Linked DNA regions of Caenorhabditis elegans. The protein of the gene in region 1 purifies or fractionates together with the protein of each later gene. This does not show direct contact. Each region holds a gene or a part of one and is shown on either strand. Other genes may lie near its edges. The genes, in order: jnk-1 and unc-16.

Evidence for each region.
Region 2: the proteins of jnk-1 (region 1) and unc-16 purify together in Caenorhabditis elegans (affinity purification with western blotting, with the first as the bait; one study listed by BioGRID). This does not show direct contact.

What each region holds. Positions count from the first base shown.
Region 1 is NC_003282.8:6,952,348-6,966,018, forward strand, and holds jnk-1 (Stress-activated protein kinase jnk-1), read left to right. Parts: upstream 1-5,293; 5' UTR 5,294-5,329; coding exon 5,330-5,375; intron 5,376-6,635; exon of another isoform or gene 6,636-6,773; intron 6,774-7,020; exon of another isoform or gene 7,021-7,044; intron 7,045-7,861; coding exon 7,862-7,971; intron 7,972-8,379; coding exon 8,380-8,538; intron 8,539-8,585; coding exon 8,586-8,671; intron 8,672-8,794; coding exon 8,795-8,924; intron 8,925-8,973; coding exon 8,974-9,171; intron 9,172-9,449; coding exon 9,450-9,615; intron 9,616-9,775; coding exon 9,776-9,874; intron 9,875-9,922; coding exon 9,923-10,001; intron 10,002-10,058; coding exon 10,059-10,135; intron 10,136-10,178; coding exon 10,179-10,294; exon of another isoform or gene 10,295-11,119; coding exon 11,120-11,245; 3' UTR 11,246-11,372; downstream 11,373-13,671. Other genes in the region: B0478.3 (uncharacterized protein), read right to left, coding at 11,528-11,626, 11,691-11,812, 11,981-12,215; gtnt-54 (Glycosyltransferase family 92 protein ZK381.2), read left to right, coding at 13,203-13,402, 13,581-13,671. UniProt on the Caenorhabditis elegans protein: Serine/threonine-protein kinase which responds to activation by environmental stress by phosphorylating a number of transcription factors such as daf-16, and thus regulates transcriptional activity.
Region 2 is NC_003281.10:9,541,797-9,552,448, forward strand, and holds the start of unc-16 (JNK-interacting protein), read left to right. Parts: upstream 1-4,498; 5' UTR 4,499-4,562; coding exon 4,563-4,628; intron 4,629-4,874; coding exon 4,875-5,003; intron 5,004-5,583; coding exon 5,584-5,863; intron 5,864-5,954; coding exon 5,955-6,135; intron 6,136-6,200; coding exon of another isoform or gene 6,201-6,257; intron 6,258-6,769; coding exon 6,770-6,891; intron 6,892-6,994; coding exon of another isoform or gene 6,995-7,025; intron 7,026-7,375; coding exon 7,376-7,544; intron 7,545-7,617; coding exon 7,618-7,661; intron 7,662-7,850; coding exon of another isoform or gene 7,851-7,886; intron 7,887-8,340; coding exon 8,341-8,439; intron 8,440-8,569; coding exon of another isoform or gene 8,570-8,587; intron 8,588-8,924; coding exon 8,925-9,178; intron 9,179-9,392; coding exon 9,393-9,589; intron 9,590-9,642; coding exon 9,643-9,756; intron 9,757-9,831; coding exon of another isoform or gene 9,832-9,850; exon of another isoform or gene 9,851-10,652. Other genes in the region: Exonuclease mut-7, read right to left, coding at 1-298, 370-559; eif-2Balpha (Translation initiation factor eIF2B subunit alpha), read left to right, coding at 1,346-1,460, 1,513-1,778, 1,842-2,023, 2,083-2,284, 2,333-2,485; ZK1098.9 (uncharacterized protein), read left to right, coding at 2,655-2,796, 3,161-3,282; ZK1098.12 (DUF2975 domain-containing protein), read left to right, coding at 3,446-3,478, 3,529-3,603, 3,647-3,748, 3,797-3,925, 3,974-4,072. UniProt on the Caenorhabditis elegans protein: The JNK-interacting protein (JIP) group of scaffold proteins selectively mediates JNK signaling by aggregating specific components of the MAPK cascade to form a functional JNK signaling module.

The DNA.
Region 1 (13,671 bases):
TTGACGTCTAGGTAATTATTTTTTGATTTCTGTATAGAAATTTTCAAAGAAATTTTGTAATAGTTCCACGTAGGTACTCAAATGAATTCATCCATGACACTTCAGGCATGCGCAGGAATGAAGAAAGTATTATAATTTTTACTTGATAATTATATTTAGGCCGATAATTTTTAAAAATCTCTGAATGTTGCCCCGAATATCGTAAAGTTTGCCCTTCAAGTTTAAATTGAATAAAGATAAATTCATGTTTTTGTCAAGTAAAATTTTTGAAACAGTAATTTTTTTCTTAAAAAATCTTTTTAACAATTTTTTTTCCTTTTTTTTCCTAAGTCTAGATTTATAAATTTTTATCTTTTTGAGAGATTTTGTGAGGTAGGCACTCAAATGACCGCTTGCCTGGCACTTCCGCAAACTGTCAGAGTAGGCGTGAAGTTAGGCAGCCAGATAGACATATACGTTTTACTTGATAATTTTTATGTAGGCTGCTATTTTTAATAACCTGTGAGGGTTGTCTTCAATATCGTAAATTTGAGCCAACTCGCAACGATCAATTAAAGAGAGATTCATGCGTTTATCAAGTAACCTTTTTGAAACAGTATTTTTATAAATAGTCACTGAATTTTCACTCTGCCTGACACTCGTGCCTACTGTCGCAGTTTTTTTTGTAATTCGCTAAATCAATTTTGTGATTCGCTAAATCTCATCGGGAAATGTTGAGAAATAGGTCGTAGGCAGCAATGTGGGTAGATGTCTGCCTACCATGTAAACCATATTTCTTTTTTATCAAACTTTCACTGCTCCCGAAAAAGTAAAATAATGTGGGGGTTCTGAAAAAGCAAAAGATAAAAAATAACCTCGTCGTTTTTCTTTCGTTTTCTCAGTTTCCGCTTACTTTGTTCACTCAAACTATTTTTTTTCCTATTATACTACTTTTTTTTTCGTTATTTTCAGACACAGATTACAGGAATTTTGTTGAGAATTTGTGGGCAAAAGGGGAGGAGAAAGGAAGTATTTATCTAAAAATGTTCCTTGGCACAGAATTCATAAAACATTCATGACTTAGCAACGAAAAAGAAGTTTGGATGACAACCAGATCCTAGTTTTTTCACTTTTGCACAAATCTGTGTGTGTTTTCGGTCTTTATTTAGTTTTTATTTAGTACCCATTTTTTATCAAATCACTGATTAAAAAACTGTGTTTCTGAAAATTTAAAAACTGACACGATGCCATCCGGGAGCACTCAATGTTGAGCAAACAAGAAGAAAGACGAGAACCCATTATGCACATTCGATTCTCTTTCCCCTTCCCGTTACTCCAAGGCTTCCTGTCCATTCTTCCCACACTCTTCCATTTCCTATCTTGTTGAGAAAACCTTTTTTACATATTTCGCATAATCCAACTGTTTAAAAATTATTTTTATTAGGTGTTTTGAAATGAACTTGGATGGAATACGCGTTTAGTTAATTATTATAAAATTTTACTGTTTCAATTTTGTATTTTTATTAGTAGAATCTATTATTATCTATTAGTTCTATTAGTATTATTAGTAGAATTTTTTCATTAACTTGTTTTACACATTTTAATAATGAAAATAATTCGATAATTCGAAAATTTTCAATTACCGAACATTTTAAGATTCGGCTGTTGCCAAAAGGGCCGATTTCCGAATTATCGAAACATTTCCAAAACATGGAAAGAAAGATAAAACTCTTCAGATTTTTTTTGATTTTTTTTGAGGTGGGGAATAAATTGAATTTTTTCACCGAATTCATTGATTTCATCAAACATTTGCTACAGTAGAAATTCGTTTTTTTGCTCATTTTTTGAGTTTTTTTTTTAAATTGAACTCAATAATTCCCAAAATGCCGATTGTCGAAAATCTTAAAAATTAAGTCATAATAGTAACAATATAATCCAAAATACAATTTAATTATCTTGAAAAATGAGAAATCTTGAATCTAGAAATGATGTCGATAATTTTCCAAAGTAAAGATAGTTTTTAGGAATTTGAAATAATTTGAATGAACTGCGATCATCGATAATTGGCTTCGCTTCTATCTAAGGGCTTTAAAGTTTTTCAATAAAATTTGATTGAAATTTCTCCAATACTTTATTATATGTGTCTTACCATGTATGACCTGATTAGAGCAGAATAAGACAATACAACACTATAATATAGTGATAAACCACCGTTTTGCAGTAATTTTCAAATTTTCTCACAGAATTTTAAACATTTCTGAATATTTCTCTAGATCCCTGAATAATAGATGATTCAAGTAAACCACAAAACCAACCAACGTCATAATTCCCACAGACTCTTTCTACGGAAAAACTTCCATCTCCTGTTTCTCTTTACTTTCAACAAAAAAGTCTGAAAAAGTGAAGCTGTTCAAAAATGCGTCCTCCTGTGCTCACTCCTTTTTTTTCCGAAAAACTTTATTTTTATCTCTCCGTCTCTCTATTTTTCATAATCTTTTCACATTCTCTTTGAATATATAATCCAGTAGTGATGACGAATGGGATGAGAGGAAGAAGGAGAAGAAGTGCCACCCAAAAAGAGGAAACGACGAAAACTTTCTGCTTTTCTCATTTTTTGAATGTCTAAACTTCTTGAAAAGGCGCGAAATTCAAATATCCTTCTTCTTCTTCTTTTTTCCCGCTCTATTCAATTTCAACCTTCTAGCCATTTTTCAAGTACATAGCATGTCAATAGGTGCTTTCCGTGAGTTTTCCGGCTCCCTGAGCACTGAAATCTCTGAGCTTTGAAGCCGTTTCTTCTTTTTTTTTGCCATTGGATTGCTAATCCTGTACCCTTGATAGTCTTCTTCCGATGATAATCTTCTCATGATCCCACTAACTAACTAAATTTTCATGCATATGCATTAGTATAATCGGAATATTTTCCACACACACTTTTCACACTAGTTTTCTCATTTCCGATTTCTCCCTTTGAATGCTCTTCTTTTAGACTTTTATCCATTTGGATACACTTTCGGATCAAAGAATTATTTATTGAATATTCTATCAGGTATCCATCATTATGGAAAACTTATTTGATTTAGCATTATAATAGAATTTAAGAATATTCCCTATCCGTTTAATCGTGTAAAAGTATTTCCCGGATAAAGTTAAATATTGAATTTTAGTGCAATTATAGTAATTACACTTTTAAAATGTTTTTCAAAAAGAAACATAGTCATTTGGCGGCTAGGTTTGAATAATAATTTTACTTTAAAAATCAAATAATCATTCATTCTCTTATGCACCACTAACTTAGAACTGGAAAATTCTTCAGATAACAAAACAGTAGAAGAAAATTCAATGAAACAGGAAAAAATAGTAGATATCGTTATTTTTCAGTGTCCATTTTCAAATGGATGTTGTACTGTTTTAATTTTCAAGTAGCGACATTCACTATGATTGTTTTTCTGGCGTTATCATCGGTTGTTATATTTAATTTTTCATTTTCTTACAAATATAATTGACTATATAATAACTTGAACGTCCATACTTAAAGTTATCTCACCAGTCCAGAAAATAAATCAAGCTATCTTTATAGTTCTGAAATACCAATTTATCAGAGTGAAACTATTCAGAAAAATAGCTATATGAATTTATCTATAAACAAAAATTGGCATTTGTTAAGTTTTCCTATCATAATTTCGGCAACCGAAAAAAAAGTTTTAAAAAAATTAAAACATTCATTACGTTTGTATTTTAACATTTGTGAAGCCTTATTTGAAAAATTGGTCAATCTTCCAAAACTTTGAAATTTTTTTTTTAATCTGATAATTTTAAGCCAAGCGAATAAGTTGAAAACTTTTCATCAAACCTCAAATTTATTTTTGAAAAAGTGCATTTAAAAACCTCTCTTCTTTATTTTAAACCAGTTATACATATGCATAATGTGATTCAAATTGTCGTTCTATACTACCTAAATAAACAAGTATGAATAATTGAATTTGTAAAGAAAAGCACGGTTGCCTAAGAGACGGATCTCATACAAAAAAAATCGAGATACCTATTTTTGCGTGATCATTTTTTTTCATTTTGGTTCATTCAAGTTAGTGAAAATACATTATCATTCAAAATTATTCACCGTTTTGATTTTGCTTCGAAATACCCAAAATTCAGAAATATCACAATATAAAAACAGAAAAAGATGTCTTTTGGTAAGGTTCAAATTAGAGTTCAACTTCTTGTAGAAAGAAAACAAAGAATCGTGTGAAAAAATAAAAATAAATTGAAAATCCGCTGTTTTCATAGCTTTTCCAAAAAAAAGCTTCAGTAAACTTTCAATTTTTTGTTTTGAAAAAAATCGAATGATTTTTCCATTTTTTTGAAGCGCTCCTTAGTTTCAAACATGTCCCGGTTGCCTTCAACCTTGTCCCTCCAATTCTTTCTTTCCCTTCTCCATCATCACATTTTCTAAATTAAATTCCAATTCTTTGCTTGAATCCTTGTCCTCCATCCACAGAAAGGACGAACTTTCAAAGCCTGCGTCTCATTATTCTCAAGTTCTTCTTCTTCTTCTCATCACCAAATCTGCCGCCCATGTGACTGACATGAGAGCCCCAATTGGCTACTCTACTGCATCGGGAATCCTTTTGAGAACTTTGACGACAACTCCCGCTCTTTACACTTTTGAGAATATATTAGGGAGCAAATACTAGAAAAGGTTTAGAAGTCTTAGAAGACTTCGGAAAAGTGGCAAGTGGCTTTAAAATGTTTCACGTAGTCTTTAAAATGTTTCACATATTTATTTAGTTAGTGATTTCCATTTAGTCTTTTGAAAAAAATGGAGAGTTCAGTACATACAGAAGGAAAAGTGATTTTAATAATAACTAAACATAATACAAAGTACAGAAAAAAACCTTTAAACTTAAACCGCCCTGAAATTTTTTAAAAAAAATTACTGCAGAAGTAAGTTTTTAGTGGTGTTTTTAAAATTAATATTGAAATATGTACTTTTTTTCATTTTCTGGAAAACAACAAGTGACCATTTTACGGGAAAATGGAATTCGAGATTTCAACACGAATTCTCAAATTTCAATTTTTCTGCCCTCAATTGCAATGTATTCTAACTGGAAAATAGTTTCCATTTCCTCAACATTTTCATTTTTTCTATTCTTTATTTTGGTGTCCGCAATTTTTTTTCCCTGTTCAGTTTTGTTTTTCTAGAAGCTGGTTAAAATTAATTAATGAGATTCTCGCTAATTTGAACCGTTCTTAAATTAGCCACTATCAGCTTTTTGCAATTTCCACCAATGAATACGTATAATAATATTTTCAGAACCATCAGCAAGTTAAAGTGTGTGATCCTGTGCACATGGAGGAACGATTATCCACAACATCATCGTATCCGTCACATCCAGGTTTGTTTTTAAATTTTTGCAAAATATTATTCTAGCTTCTTTTTTATCTACGAAAGTTAATTGTTTTTTTTGCAAAATTGAAATTTGGGAAAACTGTGTCTTTTTTTAATTAGGAATCAGTTTTTTTAAATTAAGATTTAATCAAATTTAACTCAACAGGGAAATTCTGAAATTTATGACTAAACCAAAAGAAAAGCCTGTAAAACCCGTTAACATCAATAATTGTGGGACTAATAAAATTGAGTAAAGTGGCTGGAAATGTGGGAATTCAAATTAAAAATTACTAGCTCTTTTTTCACATTTTTAAAGGATTTTTTCAGTGTTTTTTACATGCCACTGTAAGTAATATGAACTACATTTTACATGTATTACCTTCTCTTTAATTTAAATATGAACCAATAAAAATTTCAATATAACATTTCAAAATTGTATTAAAAAGTTGAGGTAGCACTAAATTAGCAGCTAGTTCTAGAAAAGCAACAAGAAAGTATAGTTTCTTGACCAAGTTAATAATATACACTTTCTAAATTAGCGGGTCACAAAATTTCCATTTAAAAAATCGCAAAAGTTATTAATATGGGATATCCATTTAAATGCACAATATAATTAATTCAATTTATTTTTAATTGTGGAATTACAGATATGCAACAAATTTTTAAATATCTGAAAAAAATTTTAAAAAATTTTGAATTTAAAAAATTTTTGAATTTTGTACTGATGGTCTTTTGGCTCATTCTGAGTATATTTAGATAGAACAATTGTTTTAGTGAGCAAATAAACAAATTGAGCATTTTCGCTCGTTTAATCGAAATACACTTTTTTGAACTTGCAGCAGAGCGACTCGTACCAAAGTGTTAAAAATTGTATTTCATTCTCAAACGCGACAGTTACTTCTCGAAATCTAGATATTTTTATTTAAAATAAAATTTTGAACTCGTCACAACAAAAGTCTCAAACCCTCGACAATGACGTCACAAAGTCGTGTCTTTTCAGTTCTGTTCCATATGCTTTACGCCTCTTAACTTCTTCTTCCTCTTCTTTTTGTCTTTTCCGTTTCTATTATAATTTATGGTCCCATGGGTACCATATTCTACGTTGGTAGCTTCTCTTCCACAAACATGCTCAACATCTTCCTCTTTCTCTCTCTTTCTATGTTTTTGCTTCTTTTTCTTTCCTCACTTTCATTCACAAATCGAAAAGACGTCCTTCTTGTGCCCCCTTCTACCCCATTCTCAAAGTCTTCTAAACACAAAAATCGATATAGGAAAGGCGCGGCCCCGTTTTGCACAGAATGACGACGGAAAGACGACGGAGACGTAGAGAAGGACCGCCGCCACTGCTCCGGAGAGCTCCGGAGACACACAACCACCACTGAGACCCTCGCAACCAACCCCATCGACTAGTACATCCACCCCAACTTATAGTTTTTTTCTTGTTAAAGTTGTTATTATAAATCACTAGAAGTTGAAAATTATGACAATTTTTTGGTTTTGAAGTGAGGAGAGCTTCTGTGAATCAAGAAGTTAGAGGTTTTTTTTTTGAAAATTTAGCTAAACTGTTTTGATCATAACTTTGCTAGAAAGGACTAATTTAGAATATTTGTCCTTTTGAAACTAGTTGAAAATTTTAAGTTGTCACCAAAAAAAATACCCTTTAGTGCAATACAACAATATCGAGGTCATTATCAGTAGACTTTTGATAATTTTATGAAACAGTTAAATTTTGAAAATAGGTTTGATTCTTGAATATTCCCCTTATTTCTGTTCTAAAAAGTTTTCCGACAAATGAATGTAACACTCTAACGAGTAGTACCCTCTTCATCTTTAATTTCCGTGTTTCTTCCTTTTCTGACCTAAATAATCCTTTCCGCTTTTCCACCCCGACCATCTTATGTTCCCTTCAGAGCCCTCTTTTCCCTTAGCCCCAATATAACCTCATCAGTGAAATTGTGTTCTTTCTAACTCTGCGTCTTCCTTCCATCTTGTGTATTTTCTCTAAATTTTGTCTCTGCTCCAAATTGGACAGAAAAAGACATCCAAACGGACAGCAAAAAAAAAGAGTCGAAAAGTGCATTGTGTGTGCTGAATGTGAAAAAGACACCAAAAAATGGATAAATAGTCTCCATTTATTTATACATTTCTTTTGAAGCTAGCAAAGAGTCTGGGTTTTTTGAAAAAAAAAAGATTTCTGGATTGGTTTTTGGGTAAATACATAGATCCCGTTAATATGCGGCTGAGTTAATTAGATTTTTAGTAATGCATCTAATATCACATTTTTCTCTGTTTCAAATATTTTATTTTCCAAATATTTTTTTCAACAAATTGCTTTCTTTCAAATCATAATTTTGATAGTGAAAGTCTAAATTTAATACCAAAATAATTGTTTGTGTTCGAGTATTTTTGAGGAAATCGTTTTTGTATCCTTCGAGAAGTTTCTACATTTCACTGTTTTCACTGTAATGGCATTTAAATTTATCCGATTTTCAGGTAGAAGCGTGGAAGAGGATCACAACACTCTGCTCGCATCCTCCTCGATATCATCAATCATTCGAGGAACCCGTGGACACCTCAACAATTTTATCGAGTCCGTTGGGAATGTGAGTTTAAGTTTGAGTTGACTAAAACTCAAAAGCATGAAATTGAAATTTTGTCTTTTAAAAATGGGCACTACCACTGATGTTTTATAAGCCGTATTTTCTATTTTAGAGACACTTGAGTTTGCAAATTTATCAGCTCATAGTTCAAATTATCATTAGTTTCGTTAAATTTTTATGAAATTTTTTGAAAATATATGAACATTACTGGCAGAATTGACAAAATTCAAGAAAAGTCCTTGAAACAGAGAAATTTTGTTCACAAAACACGAACTGAGGCGAAGTTGCTTACGGTTTCAGAAAACTTCGCAACTGTTTTATCAAATGTTGATGGTCACTCAATAGTCAGAAATAACAGTTTTTAAAACAAAATCATCAATATCTAACTATATCTTTATTCCCTATTTTCAGTGGCTGGTTCCATCATCATCTGGTCGAGACGACGACGCTGTCTCTTTGGATAGTTGCCAATCAGTGTACAGTCCTGTTCGTCATCACATAAACAGTGGAACAGGAGGAGGAATTCTCATGGAACCATCCTCTATTCATGTTCCCGAAAACTATTATTCGGTGAGTACAATTTTAACAGTTTGGTTGAAGATCTCGATATGTTTCAGGTGACAATAGGGGAAGCGCAGATGGTTGTTCTCAAACGATATCAAAATCTCAGGTTGATCGGGTCTGGTGCTCAGGGAATTGTTTGGTGAGTAATTTTGTTGTTGGTATAATGGGAAAGCGATTTTGAAGAGACAAAAATTTTCTCGATTCTATATTGTTTGGTTAAAAAATCTCAACTATGCTGGAAATCAAATTTATTATTTTTCAGCTCAGCGTTTGATACGGTACGGAACGAACAAGTTGCCATAAAGAAATTATCAAGGCCATTTCAAAATGTGACACATGCAAAGAGGGCTTATCGAGAATTAAAACTCATGAGTCTTGTAAATCATAAAAATGTGAGTTTTTTCAAGATTTTACGTTGGACTTCAATTCCTCATTTTTCAGATCATAGGTATTCTGAATTGTTTTACACCACAAAAGAAACTCGACGAATTCAACGATCTTTATATTGTTATGGAACTTATGGATGCAAATCTTTGTCAAGTGATTCAAATGGATTTGGATCATGAGAGATTATCATATCTTCTTTATCAAATGTTATGTGGTATCAGGCATTTACATAGTGCTGGAATTATACACAGGGTGAGACTGACAGAAAAAAGAATATCTAGGCGACTTATAATCGCCTTGTGCCTACTTCCAAGGCACAAGTTGCGAAAAATCGGAACATGGCTTCTTTTTTGTGGAGCAAAAGTTTTTGTGCCCATTATTATTTTTACTAAAAAAATTCAGAGGAGCATTTTAGTAGGCAAGCTCTCAGGCAGATAGGCATATAAAAAATTTATGCTACCGATTATTCTGAACCGGGTTGTCCCTCTGAGATTTTTTTTTCCAAATATTTATTCTACAAATTGTTACAGGATTTGAAACCATCAAACATTGTCGTTCGAAGTGATTGTACTCTAAAAATCTTGGATTTCGGATTGGCTCGAACTGCGATTGAGGCATTCATGATGACTCCTTACGTTGTGACAAGATACTATCGGGCACCGGAAGTTATTTTAGGAATGGGTTACAAGGAAAATGGTAAGATTTTTGAGTTAAAGTGATGAACACCAATATTAAATCGGAGCACACATTTTTTCAGTTTTTTCTAGTTTTAAAAATAGAAGAATAATCGTTATTCATTTTCAAATTCTTTAAGCAATTTAACAAAGTTATATTTTTCAAACAAAATATTTTTCAGTTGATGTTTGGTCAATTGGGTGTATATTTGGAGAGCTGATACGTGGACGTGTACTATTCCCGGGTGGTGACCATATCGATCAGTGGACTAGGATTATTGGTAATTTTGAAAATGATTAAAACGAACTGCCAACATTTCCGAATTCAGAACAATTGGGTACTCCGGATAGGTCATTTTTAGAACGGTTACAACCAACTGTCAGAAATTATGTGGAAAATCGGCCAAGGTATGAATTAAAATATTTTACTAATACAATGAACTCGATTAAAATAAAATAATTCAGATATCAAGCAACGCCGTTTGAAGTTCTCTTCAGTGATAACATGTTCCCAATGACAGCTGACAGCTCAAGACTTACAGGTATGCTTTAACAGAATAATTTCAAAAATTAAACATTTTCTAGGTGCTCAAGCTCGTGACTTACTTTCTCGAATGTTAGTCATAGATCCGGAAAGAAGGATTTCTGTGGATGATGCACTGAGACATCCATATGTCAATGTTTGGTTTGATGAAATTGAAGTAAGATTTTTTCCTATTACACAACACAAAATATACAGTTAAATATGAATGACTTTTCAAAAACCGAAATCCTATTTTTTGCGTGGAAGAAAAACTCTAAAATCCGGACTCCGGATGGCCAGCCCTAATAAAATTTGAATAATGTTGCTGAATCAATTTCAAAATAAAACATATGTTAATTGAGATTTTGAAACAGTGATAATTTTTCACTTTCGTTTATTTTTATTTTGTTGAAAACAAATAAAGGTTATATTGCGGTAACCTTATTAAAAACAGCTTAAAATTTGTATCTTTTTCCGATATCTGTACAGAATTTATATTATTAAAAAGGTCGAGTGAGGAGTCTACTAAGGGTCACACGTCAATTTCAACCGGGTCGAACGTCCAATATTGAATTTGAGCATAATAATAATATCTACTAATTATTCAATGTTTTCGCTAAATTAGTGATGGGACAAACAATTGCAACGAAAAATACAATATACATCTTAGCTTTGAAACAGTAATTTTTTTTTTCTTGTTAAATATGTTTTTTTGTTATTTTCTGTTTGAAGCTTGAAAATAACACGAAGCATATTTGGTAAGAAAAAATTTACTGTTTCAAAGCTAAGATGTAAGCATATCGTATTTTCTTTACAATTGTTTACCCGACATCTTTTGAGAATAAATGAAATTATTAATAACGCAGTATTAAAAAAGAACAGCATATAATTCACATTCTCAAGAACCATAAATTGCGAATGAAGATACGCCAGCCACAGCCGTATGTAATATCGAATTCGAAAAGAATTATAATATTATTAACTCATATTCATATGTTTTCAGGTATATGCTCCACCTCCACTTCCGTATGATCATAATATGGATGTGGAACAGAACGTGGATTCATGGAGAGAGCACATTTTCCGAGAGCTCACAGATTACGCAAGAACCCATGACATTTATTCCTGATTCCATGTTTTACGGTCACATTTCGATCTCTATGTTTTTTCATTCGCGTAATTGTTTTCAAATGTCTCCTTTTCTGTGCTCATATTTCTATTTAAAAAAAAGATAATAAATTGTTTGAAAGTTGAAAAAAAAACAGATTTATGTACATTATGACTTTGGCAACTTCAACCGCCTACAATGCGGGCATTTAAATTGATTTTGAAAATTGAAATCACATTGTTTTCAAAAATAAAAGTGATCATCTTGACAATGGATACTAACAAATGTTGATTTTTTTAAAATTTAATTTATAGTGGGAGATACTGGTTCTAGTCCTCCCAAGGTGTTATACGCAGTCTCTCCAAAAAGTCGAACAGCTGCACAGAATCCGGCAGCATCCACCTGAAACATGGGATTACTTTTCAATATGAAAAAAAAACAAATTTTAATTAAAAAAAAAACTCACTGCGCAAAGATTCTTTTCTGTGGCCGTACTTAGACATAGACAAAATTCATTATCGCAAAAATCTTTACCAATTTGAGTGTTGTAGCAGTTGTCGTGGGTTTCACAGCAGACGTTCATTGGATCTGAAAATTTAATTTTCGAAGATGATAAAAATCTTGAAACTATCTTCAAAAATTTTCAGTAATGTTTTAATTTTTTTCAATAAAAAACTGTTTCATAAAAGTCAGAAACGTTTAGTAGTTAGTTGAGATAAGTTCAATAAACAAAAACATAATTATTAAAAATCATACCTCTCAAATTTTTACACTCGGTGCTGTTAAACAATTGTGGAATAAATTCCGTGAACCGATTGGCACCGCAACTAAAATTGCTAGCCGGAATTGTATTATTCATGGTTGCCAAAGTTACACCAGTATCTCCAATACTAATAGTTTGTTGACAGAAAACACAGATTTTGAATGCAATAAGAGAAGTGACAAGAATGTAGATCAGGAAATTTGAACTTCCTTGGAATTTTGCGTTCATTATTTGACCGATGAGTCCAACTTTCAAACAGAAACCAATGAGTTTTTGATTTCAAAAGTTAGACATTTTGTGTTTTGAATTATCGTATTTATAGAGAGGAAGTGTTGGTTGATCCTTGATTACTATATTTTGTCGGTCTCCTCTTTCTATAGATCATATAATCCCACAGATTTCAGTTATTATTACAACTTTCTCTAACATGTGTCTAAATCCTCACCAATGTTACACAAATGACTGTACTGTATTTGAGTGACCACTAATCACTTTTTCATGTGATTTTTGAAAAAAAATGTAAATCAAAATTTCATATTTTAGTTGTTACTCATGGTCTGCGAAAAAATGCATCTTGAAACAATTATATTCTTCTTTTTGTGAGAGTGCACAAGGAAGACTTTCGAAACAATGAAAGACAAGAAAGATACCTATCTTTCATGGATATTCTGGAAAAAAGATTTCGGAGATTTTGATCTATGGAAATGGAGTTGGATGGAGAAGAATTGAAATGAAAAGGTTGCAGAACATCTAAGTTGATTATTTGAAAAGTTAATACATAGTAGAAGTTTTTTGTATAGTACATATGAAGCAAAATTTGAAGAATAAAAACAAAATCGCTAAATTTTTCGAATTTCAACCGTAGAATGTAATTTGAGTTTTTAAAAGTATGAACGCATGGCTTCAAGAAAAGGAACTTAAACTAGAAATTAATTTATGACCTTTTAAGTTTAATTGATATGCATCGAGACTCGCAACGAAGATCTTATACTAATCGAGGAGTATCACTGAAGTTCGTGCAAAACTTATTCAAAATTCAGGAAACATCTCGTATTTCCAACTTCAATTTCCATTCAGCACTTTCGGAAAGAACAGGAAAAGGTGAATATCAAGATAAACATCCGCGTTTAGAACATTTGCTTGACGGCTTGTCTCTCTCAATTTTTTTTTGAAATTCGTTCAGTTTATTCTAAATTGAAATTTTATGGTATAAAAATGAGATGGTTCATAAACTATAAGCCATGTCTATTAATCATTTTAATATTCAATTCAGTTATTCTACTTTTTATTTTGATAAGGAAGAGTAGTCAACCATTTTCAAATATTTTAACGGATCCATCAGGAACATCACGAGAAAAACTTCCAGTTTCTCATGCTTTTATAAATTCTGTATACTATTATCCAACTTCGAAGTCGTAAGTATTTGATATTTCAGTTTTATGATTCTCAAAATAGTTTTACACTTTTTGAAGTTTTAAAAAATAGCATCTTCATAATAAATCAAGGATTAAAAGTTTTTTGGATTAAAATAATTATAAAGTAGCATTATAGCAACTGATGGACATTAATTTAATATTCTTATTCATTTTACAGTCTCGGTGAGAATGCACTAGCTTTTACGATGGCCATTGATCAGCACAGTTATAGTATGAAAAATCACACGTTTACGGTTCTTGGATACAAT
Region 2 (10,652 bases), on another chromosome or scaffold:
AAGTCTTGTTTCTTGATGGCAGCATCTAGCAACTGTGTAATGTCCTCAGTGAATTTCTCTTTGGTGATATCGAAGATTTCACTGAGAAGCTGCTTTTGTCCAATTGTGCACACATCTAAGGCGTTTATTTGAATAGTTCCAGTCAGATATTTCTGTCTGAGCTCCGTCTCCTGTCCCGACTCTTTTAACCAAACTCCAAAATCCTCCAGATACCAAACCGCCAAACTTTGTCCCGATGTTTTTCCTCTATCCGGCATCGCTTTCATCATATCCACAGCCATTCCGTAGATGTTGACTCCTTTAAATGTATAGATTATGAATGAGGGTTTTTTAAAGTTTTTAATAATAAAAGAACTTTAAAATGTTTACCTGATCTATAGTCCTCGTTGAAAAATTCTCGATTTTTGGCTCGAACTTTTCTCTCCCGCTCAGACTCGGGTCCATTCATAATTGCTTTCAGAACTTCCCGGCGTGACTTCAACGGTTCGGCGTAGTCTGTTCGATATTTTGCCTTTTTCTCGGCTTTCGTTAGCTTTCTTTTGTACGGTTCTTCTTCCATTTTCGAAACGGACAAGCTTGATTCTGTAAAAAGTATAAATAAATATTTGTCGAAAAGTTAGTACAAAAGAAATTAATCAAAGAACAAGGAAAACGTGTTTCCCCACGAGAATTCGTATTACGGAGAGGAAAATCTAGAAACGGCCCAAAAACCGAAAGAACAACAGAAAAGCGTTGTGGATTATTCGATATCCAGCACTTTTTGCACAAATTGAGGCAAAAATAATGGAAAAAGAACCAAGAAATCAATGAACAAAATGGAAAATGAATTTTTAAAAAATTGTCGATGGTATTTAAGATGTGCAGGTTAGCGAATAGTACTGTATCACGGCGGCGATTCAAATGATCTACGAAGCAATTACACGAGGAAAATTAATGGAGATTATGGAGCAAATTGAGGGAATTAATTATAGTATAAAAGTTTCGAAAAGGAAAATTATTATTTATTATCCTATTTAGTTCGCCACACAATGGGAGATTTTAGATGCGTAAATAGTTGAGAGTAGAAAGTAAACTGACTGACTCAAAAAATATGTTTAAAATGTTTATTCGAGATTGAGAAAATAAATTAAATTTCACGAAACCTTTTAAATACATAAGTAAAAAAATGTTTTGTTTTTAAATTTGCCACTATCAAAACTGTCTAACTCTCTAACTCTTATCTTCTCTGCGTAACGATAGAGCGCGTTTACATCATTATTTTTTCATTAAATTTTTTCTATAAATATTTCTTCTTTCTACGACAAACGTTCTCCATTATTGTTTTTGCAGACTTTTTCCATCTAACATGGTTCAAGAAAGCATTATTTCATCTTTCCGTGGAAAACTTGAAAACGATCCAAGCAAATCAACGAGTCTAGCCACAGTGGAAACACTGCTCGAGGTTTTAGACCGGAGTCGCGGTAAGTTCCTGAATTTGAATATTTAGGCAATTAATTTTTTGCTTAATTACAGCCACCACCGTTGCCGAATTTCAAAATGAGCTAAATCAAGTAGTTGCTGCTCTCGAGAAAACGGACTACAGCTCAACATCAATTCGAAGTGCCGCTGATTTGTTCACCAGATTCACTTCTCTGGCTCCAGCTGCTCTTCTCGATCAAGAAGATTTTTCTCAAGTTCTTGATCTGTATCGCCAACGAGCACGCTCATTTATAAAGAATGTCAGAGGTTCTCGAGCCAAAATTTCCAAGTGCGCTCGTCTATTTTTCACTCATCATATGGTACGTTTTTTTTTCTATTTAAATAATTCCTATTTAATGTATTTTAATCTTTGTATTTTCTAGAATATTCTGACACACTCATACAGCAAAGTGGTTCTGGAAACTATTCTTGATGCTCACAAAAGTGGATATCACCTTCATGTCTGGGTCACCGAATCGCAACCGGATGCTTCAGGAAAACTAGTGTTTGAAGAATTGAAAAAGAATGGAGTTCCAACTACTTTAGTTCTAGATAGCTGTGTGGGGTGAGTGGAAATTATAAAAAACAATAAGAAAAACGTATATACATTTTTTATTTTTTAAGATATGTCATGGAAAGAATTCAAGCAGTTCTAGTTGGCGCTGAAGGAGTCATGGAAACCGGTGGAATCATCAATAAAATTGGAACTGTTAATGTTTGTATCATCGCAAAATCACGGCATGTTCCCGTCTATGTTTGCGCTGAAACTATCAAGTTTGTACGGGAGTTCCCACTCAACCAGGCCGATATTCCCCAAGAATTCAAAGTAATCAATTTATATCAAATAACTCAATCAGATCTTTCATTATTTCAGTATCGAACATCAGTAATTGAGAGAAACAACCTAGAATTGGAGCATCCCGATGTGGATTACACCGCACCCGAATTTCTGACACTGATCATTACTGATGTCGGCGCAATGAAGCCTGAAGCTGTTGGAGAAGAACTCATTAAAATGTATATCTGAGGGTAGAAATTTATTTGAACGTGTATTTAATTCAATCAAATTAAATTAATTTGTTCTTGTTTTGTTTTTTATAATTATGATTGGTTTTTTTCTTTTACAAAAATAAAAAATAACGTGGAACCCAAAACTATTCATTTCGAGTTTTTAAAAACGCTCATTCATCAAAAAGATGAGTGAAAAGCACTTTATTTTGCCATCTAGCATGCTAATGATAGTTTCGGCTGTCTTCGGAGGTATCGGAATCATCACTACAATCGTGTTCGTGATTCTGACAGTTCTTCATTCAAAAAGTGCGGTTTGTAAACCTGCAGGTTAGTTTTTGTTGCGAAATTGTGCAATTTTTACCCAGAAAGTACGGTTCCCGGTCTCGACGCTACAATTGTTAAATTCTGAAAGGTGTGTGCCTTTAAAGTGTACTGTACTTCGAATTTTTAGACTTTTATTAGTTTTTCGATATTTAAATATTTATTTATTTATCTGAAACTATGAAAAATCGATGCAAATTCCATAACAACGAAAATCTGAAATTACAGTACTCTTTAAAGGCGCACACCTCTTTGGATCTATCAAAAACTTTGCCGTATCGAGACCGGGTATCGTATTAGCATGACGAAAATCGCAAAATTATCTGGATAATATAGTAATGCTGAAGAATAAAAATTTGCACATTTTCAGGCAAAGAAGACATGAAAAAACTGAACGGTATCGAAGGAATGCAAACGATCAAAGAAGAATGTGGAGGATCAACTGAAACATCCTCGTCGAAACCGAAGAAAAAAGCCAAGAAAGAAGTCTGATTTTTTTTTTTTGAATAAATTTTAAATTTCTTCGTGAAGACCTTTTCTACGTTCTTTTAATTTATAAAATAGACAACACTTTTAACTTGATTTCCTACTCATTTCGTTAAATTCAAATCTAGCAAAAGGGTTATACGGTTACAAATCTTTGTAAAGTAGAAATATGCTTTTGAACAAACTCATTGTGGCAAATATTGTGAGTTTCTAGTTTTCAGCAGATTATTTGGGAATCTTCTTGGTTTTCAGATGATTAGTGTGACTGTTCTACTCCAGGGAACTATTCCAATGGGGTACGTATCTGGACTCGCGTCATTTTGGATGGTAAATTCTCATCTTAAAGACGTTCCTAACTCTACGTTTTCAGCTCTCAGCAGGTAGCGTTTTCCTCGTACTCGCAGTCATCACATTCATCGCTCTGTTGTTTTTGAGTCGATCTAAATGCATGTTGGCAATGAGCCAAAGAAAAGTAATTCCTAGTTTTAGAAAGTTATTTTACATTCTACAAAAATTTCAGTTGGCCATCTATCATGCTCCAGCACCAGTCACATCGTTGCTTTCGCTCATCTTCTTCATCGTGTACACATTCAGTGCCAAAGCTCCCCACGAGCATACAGCAATTAAAAACTGCATTGTGCTTCTGGATGTAAATTATATTAATCGACATGATTTTCTCTTTAATCCAACAATTCAGGTCGGAGTGGGAATTGTTCTGATGATTTCTCTGGTGCAAGTGCTTCTAGCGTTCCTGAGCCACCCGGAATATCCTGAGGAAGATAATGATGAACGTTGATTTATTTCGTAATAAACTGATTCTTTCGTATTTGTTTTTTCATTGTTTTAACACATGTTGTCACACTAAATTCGTGGTTTTGACGCAAAAATAGCCTAAGAAACACATAATTTTGATAGAGTTTATATAAAAATTCGTAATAGCGGCGCAAATTGAAATTCTATTCATGCAAAACTTCTAATGAAGTGTTTTTATTCTGAATTCAATAGAAAAATAAATTCTGAAGCGCAAAACGGCAAAACCCACTCGACATGCGTGTAGTGCGTGACGCACAAAACGCTCCTCTTCCGCCAATTACCGTATTCTCTCATCCACGAGATTCACACATGCGCCCAGCCTTCTTTTATTGATTTTCTGTCGCCGCGGCGAAGGAGTGGCACTTTATTTACATAGCTTTTTTCATTGCAAAGCACAAAAGCAACATAATTTGTAGAATTGTCTCGTCAACTTGCTCTCACATGGACCAATAATCGACAGAACGACTGAAAAAATGGCTTGCAATTTGTCACCGGTGAATGAGATGGCAGACTCAATTACGAGCAGCACACCGTCTGAGGTAAGTGGTGGCAAATGAACCATTGTTGCAACCGAGTGGCAGCAGCAGCGTCTCCCGATAGTTATCTCGGTTCTCTTATCGTCGCCCCCTACTACTATTCCTCGGCCAGTAAATACCGTTATGTTTCTCTTCCGCACTTCTCTCTTCATTATTGATTGTCGCTAGACACAACAAAACAGTTGGGACGGGTAATAGGAGGATTTTTTTATGCTGCATTCGATATTGATGGGAGAAATGTTATCTCAGATTGTGTACGGCGGCCCCGGCTCACCAGATGAGCATCGAACAATGTCGGATAAAGTGCAGACAATGGCTTCGGCAATTTATCGAGAGTTGGAAACAATGATAAAAGTTCACGGAGAAGATGGCGTGAAAGTGAGTTTTTTCGGAATTTTACTTTAAAATTTATTTAAATGGCTGTTTTCGCAAAAAATGTCCCAAAACAACCGGATTTCATAATAAGACTGATGGTTTTGAAAAAAAAAACGCTTTCTTTCTTCTGAAATCTTCAATTTTGCCAACTTTTCCGTGTCGCAACGGCCGGAAATGAATTTTTATTGAGCATCATTTCGATCTTGCTTATTTTTAGTTGCCTATCGCTTCAAATGTACCAAACTCAACGAAGTAACACGAGATAAACGACAAAATAAGCGAAAATCGAATGAAAATAAATTTCCGACCGCTGTGGCACGGAAAAATATGCAAAATTGTAGATTTTAGCTCATAGTTAAATATTTTTCAAAACATAGAATCGTCATAATTAATTGAAGAACTTTTAAATGATATTTTTACGAAATTCGGACTTTTTAGACCATTTTTTGATCAGAAATTGAAATTCTATGTTTTTACTCTACTTCAATACTAAATTCAGTATGTTAAACCAGTCAGCAGGTAAATTTATGCTAATTTTCTTCTCTCTTTCTCTATTATCATTCAATAAACTAAACATTTTCAGACTCTGATGCCATTGGTTGTAAATGTGCTCGAAGCATTGGATCTTGCCTATTTGGAACGTGACGAGCAGACTGCAGAACTTGAAATGCTCAAAGAGGACAATGAACAGCTTCAGACACAATATGAACGTGAAAAAGCACTTCGAAAGCAGACAGAACAGAAATATATTGAAATAGAAGACACGTTGATTGGTCAGAATAAAGAGTTGGACAAAAAGATAGAGTCACTTGAATCAATAATGAGGATGCTCGAGTTGAAAGCCAAAAATGCCACTGATCACGGTTAGTTTGTTACAGTTAGTTAATTGTCACCTCAATTATTAACTCTTGTGTTTTTCTTGGATAAATTTTTAAAAAAAGTATTATTTTTCAGCCAGTCGTCTGGAAGAACGTGAAGTGGAACAAAAGCTCGAATTCGATCGTCTCCACGAACGATATAATACTCTATTACGAACCCATGTAGATCACATGGAACGTACAAAATATCTAATGGGAAGTGAAAAATTCGAATTAATGCAGAATATGCCATTGCCAAATATGCAACTTCGAAACAAGTAAGTTTAATTTAATTAAATTTAAAAAAGTGATTAATATTTGACTGTTGTGTCGTTGTTTGTAGTTGGTTTCCAATATCACATCGCTTACATAAGAGTGGTGATCAAAGTAATTTGTCATTGTGAGTTTTGTGTCTGGAATTTTTGTTATTTTTCGGGAAGGTTTTTTTATTTTTCAAATTTTTGATTTTTTTTCGATTTGGTTATCCTCCACTTCACTCCAAATTTTGAAGCGCATGAAGAAATAAAAATCACCAATTTTTTTGAATTTATTTTATTTTCTTGATTTTCCAAATTTTTTATCACTGCTCTAAATGTCAGAAAAGAGATCATAATTACTGTTTAAAAAAATTTTCTAAATTTTTATGTTTTCTCCAATTTTGCAAAAAATGCGATATTTGTTGTTAAATTCCCGCAAACGATATAGATCTTTGAAAATGCTTCAATTATATTTATTGTTTAAAAAAATTGTATAAATTCGCTCATTACGATATACAATTTAAAGCAAAATTCCCAATTTTATCATTTTCCAAAAAGAATTTTGTTAGGCAAACACTTCTTCCACCTTTAATAACTTGGTTCGGTCCCCTAAAATCAAAATTTTAATTTTTAAAAGATATTATTTAAATTACAGAATGGGCATGGCTGCTTCTGTGGATGCATCATCAATTCGTGGAGTATCTGATCTTATTTCTGCTCATATGACACAATCAACCACGATGGATGTTAATCTTGCAAATCACATCACAAACGAAGGTGAGTTTTTTACGCGACCCTTCACAAATATGTAAAAATACAAAAAATTCTATATATCGCAAAATTTAGTTTATTTATTTATTTCCGATAATTTTTAACTAACATGAACTCGAATCCTCAACTAACCTTTATTGGTATGCCAGTTTTCTTCCGATTTCCATGCTGCAAAGGTGCGGCACGGGTTTTCGCAACCGCCGCGCGTTTTTTTAAAACTTTTTTTAACAGGAAATTTCCAACGGATTTTTTTCTGTAAATTCACTTATTTTCCAACTGCATTGGTTTATTGCTCAATTTTTAGACCTTTTTGGCTTAAATAAACCAGTTCAGTTGGAAAGAAATTTTAAATTTCCCATTAAAAAACCATTTTTAATTGTATTCCGTACGATGTTTCCTGTTGAAAAGTGAAAAAAAACCCGCTCCGCACCTTTTCTCAATGGAAATTGCAACCCTCATTCTTTTAAATCTTAAAATACTAATTTTCCAGACTGGCAAGACGAATTCTCATCAGATATCGAACCATCACCCAGGGATATTCCACAATCATCTGCTGATGCGTTGACTTCACCAATTACAACCAAAGAGCCGACTCCTAAACGAGAAGCTGCTTCACCGAAACAATCAGAAGAGGAAGAAGCTGACGAGACAACTTCTGTGTAAGTTAATTATGATTTTAAAATTTTATTAGGAATTTATATAAGAGTTTTGAAATCTATTCCAATTTTTCAGAGATCCCAAGGAAAATAACGATTTGCTCGGTGCTGATCTCACAGGTTGGTTTTTTTGTATTTAATAATTAAAAATCAAGTGAAATCGTCTAATTTATCTATTGTCCATCACTAATTAGAGTGTGTCGTTTCATTTTTTTTCACACTAACCTAATTTCTTCTTCAAATCACACAAACACGGGGACTTTTTTTCATTTTTGACAATTTATCGATTATCCACACATAATTTGACAGGAAATCTAGTGGATCCAGCAGAGTTCGCCTCAGCGGGTAAATTTTTAAGTTTTCAATGTTGTATTGGTCCTTGTGGTCCTTGTTCTTGCTTGCTTTCGGCCAGCTTTTGTCCGGTATTTCACCACACTGAAGTCTACAATGCATGCATTTTTTCACTTTCCCCGTGCACCTTTTATATAGATTATGTTGTAGAGAAAACACGTGAAAGCTTTTTCAAAATCTCGGTACCCTCTAAAGACACAGTAAGTGTGTACACACAATATTTAAAAATTAGGTCACACCCATAAAATGGTTTTGCCTCTCATCTTATCTGAGCTCACTGCTAGCGTGAGAGGCGGAACCCGGTAGATGTCGGACCTTGGGCGTGGCGTGATTTTTGAAATTTCTGAATGTCTATCAACTTAGTCGCTATTCCCTCAAAATTTTGGTTTCAACCTAAAAACTAGATGTTGTATTGTATTTACTTGATGTGCCTTTTGTGTTTTGTCAGATGACGAATCGGATTGGAATGGTCTTGGATTAATACCACGAAGACATCGACCAAATGAAATGCTCGACGATGATGACACTTCGGACGATGGAAGTTTGGGTAGGGAACACACGTAGTTTGGAGCATGTGCATGAGCGCTGGCCATTTTTTTTTGAGTTTTGCATAATCGATTCTATATATATCTCCATCTCTCTCTCTTTTTTTGATTTAACATTCTCTATTTTTACAGTTAACGACACGTTCATTGGTAAGTTAAAGCAAAAACAATGTCGTGATTGTGTTTTGAAGCACTTGTTTTATATTAAAAAGTTTAAAATTGAAATTAAAATTAAACTCACATATATTTATGTTTCACTCAATTGGTTTCGTCACTATTTTTTCCGAAATTTATTCCGTTTCATCACAGAGACATTAAAAAACAGCATGCAATTGATAGTTTATGAGAATCTTCCTCGCTATTAATTCAGAATATTTATTAAATTTATTAATTAGTATATATTTAAACTCGAAGATTTTCATGCAAGCGCTTACCCTGTGTTATCGAATGACTTTCCAACACGATTTTTCAACTTTTATTCTTTAAGGAATGGGCCGTGAAGTCGAGAACCTGATCAAGGAGAATTCCGAGCTTCTCGATATGAAAAACGCGTTGAACATTGTCAAGAACGATCTTATAAATCAAGTCGATGAGCTGAACAGTGAGAATATGATTCTGAGAGATGAGAATCTGAGCCGACAAATGGTCAGTGAGAAGATGCAGGAGCAAATTACGAAGCATGAGGAGGAGATTAAGACGCTCAAGCAGAAGCTTATGGAGAAGGAAAATGAACAAGAAGAGGTTTGATTTTTTAAAATTTAGAAGTAAAAAATATATTTTGCTTCAAAAATTCCAAAAAGAGTGCCCTAGATTCCAAAATACCACTAAAAATCAAAAAATCGAGGAAGATTGAAAAATCTAATTTTTTAAAGTTTATCCACAATTCATTTGAACAAATCTCTTTTTAAAAGTGGGATTTTTGATTGTTTCTGAATTTTTTAAAAAATGCTTTCAGGATGATGTTCCAATGGCAATGCGAAAACGATTCACTCGTTCAGAAATGCAGCGTGTTCTTATGGATCGAAATGCATACAAAGAAAAGCTTATGGAACTCGAAGAGTCTATCAAGTGGACTGAAATGCAACGAGCAAAGAAGATGCAACAACAGCAGCAGAATGTGAATCAGAAGAAATCTGGCGGAATTTGGGAATTGTTAGCTAATTTATCGCCGATTCGTGCTTCTTGATCCTTTTCTCTTTTTACAGTTTCTCAAGTCTCCTGGGTGATTCAGTGACCCCACCCGCATCGTCGCGGGGAAATCGTGCAAGCTCATCGCGCGGCAAGATGACTCGCTCTGTGGAGTATATCGACCCAGACATGTTAGTTGTTGAAGAGTAGAGATTATTTTTTGTTGGGCACGTAGTATGAATGGTGTTGTTTTTTCTTTTTTCTAGGATTCATCTCTCCCGGTAACACCCTCTCATCCTGTGATGCTTCGAAGACCAATCTGTTGAACTCTCTATCTCTCTCTAAATAGAACTTATAATTGCACTCACTCAACACCTAGATTCATAATGAACGCACTTATAAACAGCTTTAACTATACATAAAATCAACAAACATTTGGAATCCGATCATTTTATGCACCCGCATTTTCCCAGAGACTTGGTTTGATCTTTTTTTGAAACTAACCTTTTTAAGTTGCGTTACAAAATAATATTTATTATGGGTACGTAGAAAAAGAGCCTTTGGAAATCGGTGTGGAAACGCGCTCCATGGTCATTAGAAACGCTCCGCCCATAATTAATGGGTCTCATTAGGTGACTTTTTTAACTAGATTTTCCAATTATCGAGCATTTCCGACTTTTTAAAAATAATGTTTTCGTTGTTTTTCATGATTTTTGAATATCTAAAAATTGGTGAAATAAAATTCATAAACATGTACAAAAATAATATTACAAAAAGTTGGAAATCCTTGAAAATTGGCGAAATTGTCGTCAAAAACCCAATGAGACCCATGGTTCGGAGGCGGAGCGTTTTAAATTGACCGTGGAACGCGTTTTCATGTAGATTTCAAAATACATTTTTTACGCCCCCATAATAGAATTTTGCTGACTTTCAACTAATTCTGAAAACAATTCCCTAAGTTGACGCAACTCCAGAATCTTATGAAATTCTCTAGAATTTATTATCTTCGTTTTTAGTTCTTATTTTCTATTTAATTGCTTGTAAAATGTTTCCACGGGTTTAACTTTCCCATTCATTCTCATAATGC